Linked DNA regions of Oryctolagus cuniculus. The protein of the gene in region 2 purifies or fractionates together with the protein of the main gene of each other region. This does not show direct contact. Links are inferred from orthologs where the notes say so. Each region holds a gene or a part of one and is shown on either strand. Other genes may lie near its edges.

What was found.
Region 1: the proteins of KCNJ4 (region 2) and DLG4 purify together in Homo sapiens (affinity purification with western blotting, with the first as the bait; 3 studies listed by BioGRID). This does not show direct contact. The link is inferred for Oryctolagus cuniculus from reciprocal best matches to the Homo sapiens genes KCNJ4 and DLG4.

The regions. Positions count from the first base shown.
Region 1 is NC_091448.1:51,818,030-51,821,823, forward strand, and holds part of DLG4 (disks large homolog 4), read right to left. Parts: intron 3,791-3,794; exon of another isoform or gene 3,782-3,790; coding exon of another isoform or gene 3,767-3,781; intron 1,757-3,766; exon of another isoform or gene 1,735-1,756; coding exon of another isoform or gene 1,732-1,734; intron 1,140-1,731; coding exon 975-1,139; intron 1-974. UniProt on the Homo sapiens protein: Postsynaptic scaffolding protein that plays a critical role in synaptogenesis and synaptic plasticity by providing a platform for the postsynaptic clustering of crucial synaptic proteins.
Region 2 is NC_091442.1:115,108,266-115,112,625, forward strand, and holds the start of KCNJ4 (inward rectifier potassium channel 4), read right to left. Parts: upstream 3,080-4,360; 5' UTR 2,144-3,079; intron 1-2,143. UniProt on the Homo sapiens protein: Inward rectifier potassium channels are characterized by a greater tendency to allow potassium to flow into the cell rather than out of it.

The DNA.
Region 1 (3,794 bases), on a different chromosome or scaffold from region 2:
CTCCAGATCCCTGAGCAGCCCCTGGCAGCTCACGCCCTCCTCCCCAACCCATGTCCCCGGCAGAGGAGACTGGAGAAGGAAGCTGGAAAGCCGAGTGGAGAGCGGAAGTCCTCAGAGACCCAGGAAAGCACCTGGAGAGCAGAGGAGGAGACGGAACAGGTGGCGGTGGTGAATAATAATAGGGGGGAGGGGCAGAGCAGGGCAGAAAGCAGCAATGGGTGGAGGTGAGGCGAGAACCCCAGAGAGAGAGGGCAGGGAGGAGGGAAGGGAGGAAGGGGAGAGGACTGAGGGGCCGCAGAGGCCTGAGCTGGGAACAGGGAGAGGCAGAGGGAGAATGCGTGGGAGGAAGAGAGAGACAGCATCCAGAACCAGCCAGCCAGCCAGCCAGCGGGGAGGGAAGGGCGGGAGGGGGAGGCAGCACGAGAGGGGAGCAGAGGCTGGGGCAGGGAACCAGGCCCGAAGGCTGCACCACGGGAAGAAGTCTCAGGCCAGACAGATGGAAAGGGCTGCGGACTCGGGCACAGGGAGAGCCAGGCCCTGAGGCGGAGGTGGGGGGAGGAGGCGGCCAAGGGACCGGAGCAAATGAGGGCAGCAGGCGCTTGGAACAGAGCTCTGGACACAGAAAACGGAAGCGGAGGTTGGGGGTGTGAAGGAACGAAGAGGGTCCTGGCGTGGGGGGCCTCTGGGGAGAACGCAGGCAGTTCAACACCCGCGCAGCACAGCACGCGCGCAGACACACGCACGTACTTTCCAGCTTAGGATCCGCACCCACTCCGGCTGGCCTGGCCTGTTCTCGCTGGGACCAGTGTGTCCAGCCCCCACCCCGCCCCGAACGCCCCCTCCCCCAGGCCCCAGGAGCCCAAGCCCAGACCCGCCCCCGCCCCCCCATCTCTTGCCCTACCGGCCCTGGGGGGTTGCTGCAGCTCCGAGGCTCCGAGGGCCGCACTGGGGAGGGGGCCGCCAGGGTCTCCTACCTTGAGGGGGGAGAGGTGGGCGTGGCCCACGACCCCGTGGACGGCCTCGAGGTGGGACAAGTTCCTCTCCGCCACGTGCACCAGCTCGGGGGCGTTTACCTGGTTGGGGAGGTGGGCCGGGCTGTGCTCCAGAGGGGGCGTGTCTTCATCTTGGTAGCGGTATTTCTGGGGATGGGGATGGAGGCGTCACTGGGGACGGTCCGGTCCAGTGCCTCGGGCTCCAGGCCGCCTGGCCGCCTCCTCTTCCCCCCCTGCCTGTGCAGTGCGGAAGGCCCCGGGGCCTGACCAGCTCCTCCCCCTCCCTCCCCTCCAGCCCATTGGCTCCCCTCTCTCCACCCTCCCGACAGCCCCCTCTCGCGCCAGGGCCTCAGTACCTGCCCTCTCTCCCCAAGTCGCCGCCCCATCCTCCAACTCGGAATCCGGCAGACCCTGGGACCCTGGCCTCTCACCATGTCCCCTCCCTTGACATCTCTGTGCACCCCCTTCCCAGGCCTTCCAGCCCCTGGCACCTGCACCCCCACTCTTGACATCCATCCAACTTCTTTGCTTCCCTCCTCACCTTAAGCCCACCCACCATGTTCTCCCCTTCCCTTCCTATGGCTCACTTGCTGCTCCTGCTTCCCAGGCCCCCCCAGCCCTACCCTCCTCGCCACCGTGTCCCCACTGCAGCCTCTACCCCAGCAGCGATTGGCTCTCCAGCACCTTGCATGCCCCAGGCAGGGGCCAAGCTGGGGCCCTTCACCCCAAAGATACTTGCCATCAGCTCCCCCCAAGACACGACACGGCTAAGCCCGCCCAGCCCTTTCTTCCCTGGCCCTGAAGATTCCCAGGTAGTCAGCAGAGGGGCAGAGCAGTGTAGCCCCTCCCCAACAACAGCCCACAGCTAATCCGGATGTACCAGGAGGAGATGGGGCGCAGGAGGATGGGGAGGCAGTAGGGCTCTTGAGGGGGGCAGCAGTGGTGCCAGGGCGCCGGACTGAGGAAGAGGGAAGTCTTTGGGGGCTCAAGAGTGAACTCCTGGTCTCCCTCTGGCCTTTCAGGGTGAAAGACCCAGAAAGATCTGTAACTTTGTCCAATTAACCAGCTGCCATTTCAAGGGCCTCCCGCTGGGTTTAATAGGGACACCAGTAAATGAGATTAACTGGGCGCAGGGGAGAGAGGAGGAGGGCAGATGGACAGCAGTGACGGGCAGCAGCTCTGCCTGGGTGCTTCCACACCTTGCTCTGCTCCTCCCCTCCGGGGCTGTCTGTACAGAAGCAGACCCTCCCCAGCTCCAGGGTCAGGAGAGATGGAAGATGCCGAGTGCAAGGCTCCCCTGGGCACTGGCGAACACAGAACATACGCCCTAGTGCACATGGGCAAAGACAGAAGGCAGGGCTTCCCTCCCCAAAGTGCCTGAGAAGCTGAGAGAACCCCAACTTTTGGAGGGCAACAGTTTCAAGATCAAGGACAACGCCTGATACCAGGGATGAATCAAAGCTGAGGATGCCACCCAACTTCGACTGTAGACCAGGGTGTGGCAGGAGACTGAGGAGGGAAACAGTGTCAGCATGGAGACCTGACCCCCCAGGACACACCCTGACGTTCTGGAAGGTGACTGCCGAAGGGAGACAGGCTGCCCTCTGGACCATGGACTTGAGAGTCCTGGACTCCAGGGTTCAATACCACAGACAAAAAAAAAAAAAAAAAAGGGAGATGGAAAGTAGGGAGAGGACGGCACAACAACCCTCGACCCTTGAGGGGTCATGGACAACAGAGTTCTGGGAACTGGAAGAGGTTATTCCTGAAAAGGTGGTCTTCAGCCAGGACTGTGCACGAGGGAATTAGGGATCCAGTGGGAAGGAGGGGAGGCAGCTCCCCTCTGTCACTCCACAAGGCCTTGGTGCCCTGCCTGGGAAGGACGTGAGACAGGACCACAAGGTGCAGCTCCCAGCTCTGGGGTCTGGGTGAGGGTTGGAGCCCAGTGCCCCTCCAGCTTCATCCAACCCGGCAGAGAACATTCCTGAGTCTGATGAAGGAGCATGATGTGCACCCAAGGAAATGAAGTGTTAAGAAAGATGTTTCACCGTGTATTCTAGAGCGGAGAGAGAGAGGTAAACTTTGATCACGTTGAAGCCCCAGACACCTCTTCCTGCCCCAGCCCACAGGGGTGGGGGTGTCTGGCACGGAGGGGAAGGCTCCTTGGGGTTGAGAGACAACAGGAGGGGAAAGGGGAGCAAGAAATGGTGCATTCAAGTTTCCAGGATGTGGGTGCAAGAGGGGAGGCCCTATGTTCAATCCCTGGGAATTTTCGATGTACGTGGAGTGAGAAAAGAAGCAAAAACAGCCTGGAGGGGCAGGGGGAGGGGGAGTAATGCTGAAACTGCAGCCAGGGGATGGGAGGGGCGTTGGCACCTCTCAGTCCCAGATTTCCCCCGCAGCTACAGCAGGACAGGAAGAGGACCCCCCCTTCCCCCCATGACAGCTCCCTGCAATTAGGACGAGTCTGAACTCCCGGTATACTGGGGCTTAGGACATGTAAAAGGGTCACTGCGCCTTCCCCTTTGGCCCCCTCTTCACCAGAGCCCCAGGTGCACAGAATGACCTGGAACCGAAGCTGGCACCCCCAAAACAGAGGGGTGTGAGTCCAAGTGGGTAAGAGGGGCGATCCCCTGCGCCTTTCCCCGAGAAGTTGCAACCCAGAGACCCCACGCCAAGCCGAGGGAAGAGCGACAGCACTTGAAGCTTGCACCCTGAGATTTGGGGGGTCCGGAAGGAGGGGAGCGGGCCCGGAGCCGTACCGCGGCACGTACCACGCAGAGACACATGGAGGCGAATCTG
Region 2 (4,360 bases):
GCGGAGGTGGGAAGAGGAGACAGGAAGACGGGAGAGAAAGTTGGGGGCTGGCCGCCGGCCCCGGCCCCGGCCCTTCGCCTCCCGCTCCCTCGTGCAGGGGAGCAGCGGTGATGTAATGCGCTCGGCGTTCGTCCCGGTGCCAATCTCAGAAGAGAGACGACAGATTGCGTGAGCCAAATTTGGCATCCTGGGGGGGAGAGGCATGAAAAGCGGAGATGTGGAGGAGAAGAGGAGCCTGGGAGGCAGGAGAAGCCCCCTGCCCTGCGGACCCCTCCCTCCACTCGGGCCCCCAGCTCCTCCCCGGCCCACCGGGTCTCCGGGCCTCCCTTCCTGTCTGGGGGAAGCCGGCGGGCTGCTGCAGGGACCCTCCAGCCAGCGCTGCCCCGCACCCGCACCCCCCAACACGCGCTCCGGCTCCGTTTCCCACCGCCGCTAGTTTCCTGGTTACCATGTTGCTGGTTGTCATGTCGCGTCCCTGTCCTCGTGACTCAGTAGTCCCCGCAGAGGGGCCCCTCCTCCTCACACCCCCCTTGGCACTCGCCCCCGCCTCCCCCAGATCCACATTAAGAAGCAGCCGCCCTGTGAGCCCACACGGCTCCTGCCCCCTCCCGCTTAGCCTAAAGCACAGAAATCTTTTCGCAGCATCTCCCAGGGCTGCTTCGCCCAGAGTTCCCGCACACATCCGCGAAGATGCTGCCAGCCTGCGGCCTCGTGCGCGCAGCTCGAAGTCCGTCCAGGTCCAGTTCCCCAGGCTCAGAGAGGTCAAGCCAGCTGCCCAAGGACAGCCAGCAGAAACCCTAACCCAGCTCTGAGTCACCTCGGACAGCTCCACCTTCTCGGGAGAGGACCCTTTTCAAGGGGAACCCAAGGGTCCACGAGGTACGGCTCCCAAGCCACAGGTCCCTCTGATTCCTGGACACTCCTGTCCTAGGGCAGTGTCCCTTCACCCTGCCCCTGGCCACGAGCTGCTCGGCCCCTAAAGGAAAAAAATCCTTACTCCCACCCGCCCAGCCACTCCCCAGCCCAGCGCCCCCCAGTGGAGGGCAGTGGGGCGCGGAGCAATGACCCCATTCCACAGATTTGGAAGTTGAGAGTCAGGGAGGGAAGTGGCTCGCCCAGGGCACTCCATCTCAGCAGCTGAGCTCACTTCAGGAACCCGAATGCAGGGTATATGAGGCTCTCTGCCCAGTGTAGACAACCCCACAGAGGGCCCCCCCACACCTTGGAACAGAGTCGAATGTTCCAGACTCAGCCCTCCCGGCTCCAGCGTGGATGTGGATCCACCCAGGCAGGCTGACAGCCTCTGCTCGGGCCCCTCGCACCCCTCTTCCATTTGTTCCAGCCAGCGCAGGCCAGGCAGGGCCACCATGTGACTCCGGGGCCCCTCAGGCCCCCAAACCCTAGAGCCCTGGAGGGCACCGGACTGTATGTGTGGAGGAGGGGATGTCACACACACACACACACACACACGAACGGCTGCAGCCCCTCTGGGTTCCCCCCACCTGCTGCTGCCAACCCACTGCTCCGGAAGCCCTCCATGGTGAACTGAACCTGGGCGCCGGGCCCTGCAGCCTGGGCAGGGCACAGGAGTGTGGGTGGGGGCCCGTTCTGCAGGTGGGGGGAGTCTCACACCTCTCTTGCCTGCGTGACGGAAGCACCACTTCTCCCTCTGCCCAGCCTCGGTTCCCACCCTGTGAACTGTGGGTCCCTGCCCGTCTGCCCTGGAGTGGCCCGGCACACAGCAGGTGCTCAAACGTGCCAGGTGGGGGGAGGTGGGAAGGAGACACCCCCACCTCCACCCCCTTGCCCCAGTCACCTGCCTTGAAGCTCTGGGTCTGACAGTGGGGGTTGGGGAGGTGGGGGTGGGCGGAGGCGGGAAAGGGTCACTGGCCGGCCAGGAGGTCAGGGTCTCCTCCAGTCACCTCCCCAGCCGCCACCCAGACCGCCACGCTCTCGACGGACACGCGGACAGCCCGCTAGCTCCTGGGAAGTCACGGGACCGCGCCAAACGCGCGCCGGGACCCAGGTCAGGGACAAGTTGAAGAGCCGTGGGGGCCAGAGCGGCCGGGCTGGGACAGACAGACACGCACGCGGCAGGACAGACGGACGGACAGCGGCCGCGGAGGGCGCGCGCCCGGCTTACCCCGGGGTTGAGGGTCCGACGGTGTCCGGGCGGCGGTGAGCGGGCGCTACATCCCACGGCGTCCGCGCGGGCAGCGGGGAGTCCCGGCGCGGCTCCCCGCGGACGCGGCCGACCGGCCCGCGCCCTCCCCGGCTGCGGTCGGTCCGTGCGTGGGTCTCGGGACCTCCGCGCCGTCCTGCGCCGCTCCCCGCGGGCCACCCAACTTTCAGCGCTGCCCCGCGCCGCGCCCTCGGCGCAGCCGGGGCGTCAGCATCATCCGGCCCCGGGTGCGGGCTCAAAGCGCGGGGCTCCGGGGGCGCCCGGCCCCGCCGCCGCGCCTCGGCCGCCCCCGCCGAGAGCTCTGTCGGTCACCGGGTCCCGCTGGCGCGCGCTGCCCGCTCCGCCGCCGGCCTGGGGTCACCCTCCCGCTCCCGCCGCGGGCTCGGCCGCCCCCTGCCGCTGCTGCTCCCGGCTTCGCTCCGGCTGCGCGGGGGTCTCTGCCCTCTCGCGGCGCCGCCCGCCTCCCGCGCTCTGCCCGCGAGGTCCGGGTCTCCGTCTCCCCCGCGCCCCCGCCTCTGCCGCGCCTGTCTCCCCCGCGCGTCTCCAGCGTCCCCTCCGCGCCCCGCGCCCGGCGCTCTCCCCCGCCCCGCTCCGCCGCCGCGTCCCCGGCTCTCCTGGAGCCCGAGCTCCCGGCCCGCGGCGCGCCGAGAACTCCCAACTCGCCGCCTGCCGCCCGCTTTGCGAGACTTTCGCCCCTCCTCACACGTGACCCGCGCCCCGCTGCGGAGGCCACGCGCCCGGCCCGGAGCCCCGGCGGCCCGCGGGGCCCGACCCGGCCCGGCTCGCTCAGTCTACGCGGGCATGCAACCCGCTCCCGCGGGGCCTGCGGCGCCGGCCGGGGGCAGGGGCTGGGGGGCTGCGTGCCCCGCTCCTGCCCGAGATCCTGCGCGGGTTTTCCTCCTCGCCCCGGGAGCGCTCCTCCCAGAAGCCGCTCCGAGAATCCGCTCCCGGGTTTTGTAGCCCCCCCAGGGGCAGGTGGGGAGGGTTCCTCCGAGCCTGGAGCGGGTGGGTGGGAGCCGGCCAGTCTGGAGTCCCGTGGGCCCGGCCCCCTCCTCTTGGCGCTCCCCGTTCCGTCCCAAAGACCGGACAGTGAGGAGCCCTGCGCACCTCCTCTGGGAGGTCGGGCAGCCCTCCTGGAGGGACCCTCACCACCGTCTCGGCAGCGCCAGGGCCGGGAGAGTGACAACCAGCGGGTCAGAGCTCCCAAGGTCACCCAGACGTGGCCAAACGCCAGGCCCGTGTCGTCTGCGGTCCCCCCAAACCCGTCTTACTCAGCGGTCTTCGTAAAGGAGGGTCCACACCCTGCCACCCGGCCCCACTGCCAGCGAGCCGGTCCGGCTCCCCAGGCACTCCGGGGACCCTCCAGCCGCTCCTTTCAGGAGCCGGGCCAGAGTCCTGCTCCCCCCAGGGTGGCAGAGAGAGGACCCCTGGGGGTAGACAGCCAGGAGAGCCGCCCTGGCGCCCCAGAGCAGACAGGGAGACTGGGGTGGCTAGCGGAGAGCTGGCTGGCTCTGAAATGCAGTCTGGCTTCTACTCCAAGCTGAAGCCCAGGGGGGAGTCCAGCACAGGTCACACGGAGCACCAGGGTCGTGACCTTTCCCTTCCCCCACCCCAGAGGACCCAGCCCCAAGCCCTGCCGGCTGCATGCCCACACGGACACCCTGGTCCCCACAGCTCCCAGAGCCAGGGGCCCACACGCGCAGGGACCCCCACCGCCTTCCCCTGAGAACCCCTGCTCTTCTCCAAGCCCAGCCCCGTGCCCCTTCCCAGAGAGGCCCTCCCGATGCCCTCAGAGAGGTCATTCACTGCGTGCCAGGCCCCAGGCTGGGCATGGGCATGGCTCTGGCTTGGTGAGCTTAGCAGACAGGCCAGCCTGGGCTCCAAAGGACCTCTGCGTGACCTTGAGAGAGACTTGACTGGACCTGTCTGCAAAATGGGGGCCCTCCCCTCCCCCTCCTGCAGAGGCAGGTTAATGTGCAGCTCATAGTAAGTGCTTAGCAAACGTGCTGTCCCTTCTCCGCGCAGGCGTCCACAGGGCTCCTCTGGTCCCGCGCCTGTCACAGGCAGACACCAGGGGGGCCTGATGCTGCCACATCATGCTGCTCCTGGGTGAGCAGATGGGAGGGGGGCTCCAGCAACCTGACGTGCGCTCCTAGCACACCTTCCCGTGGTTTGCGG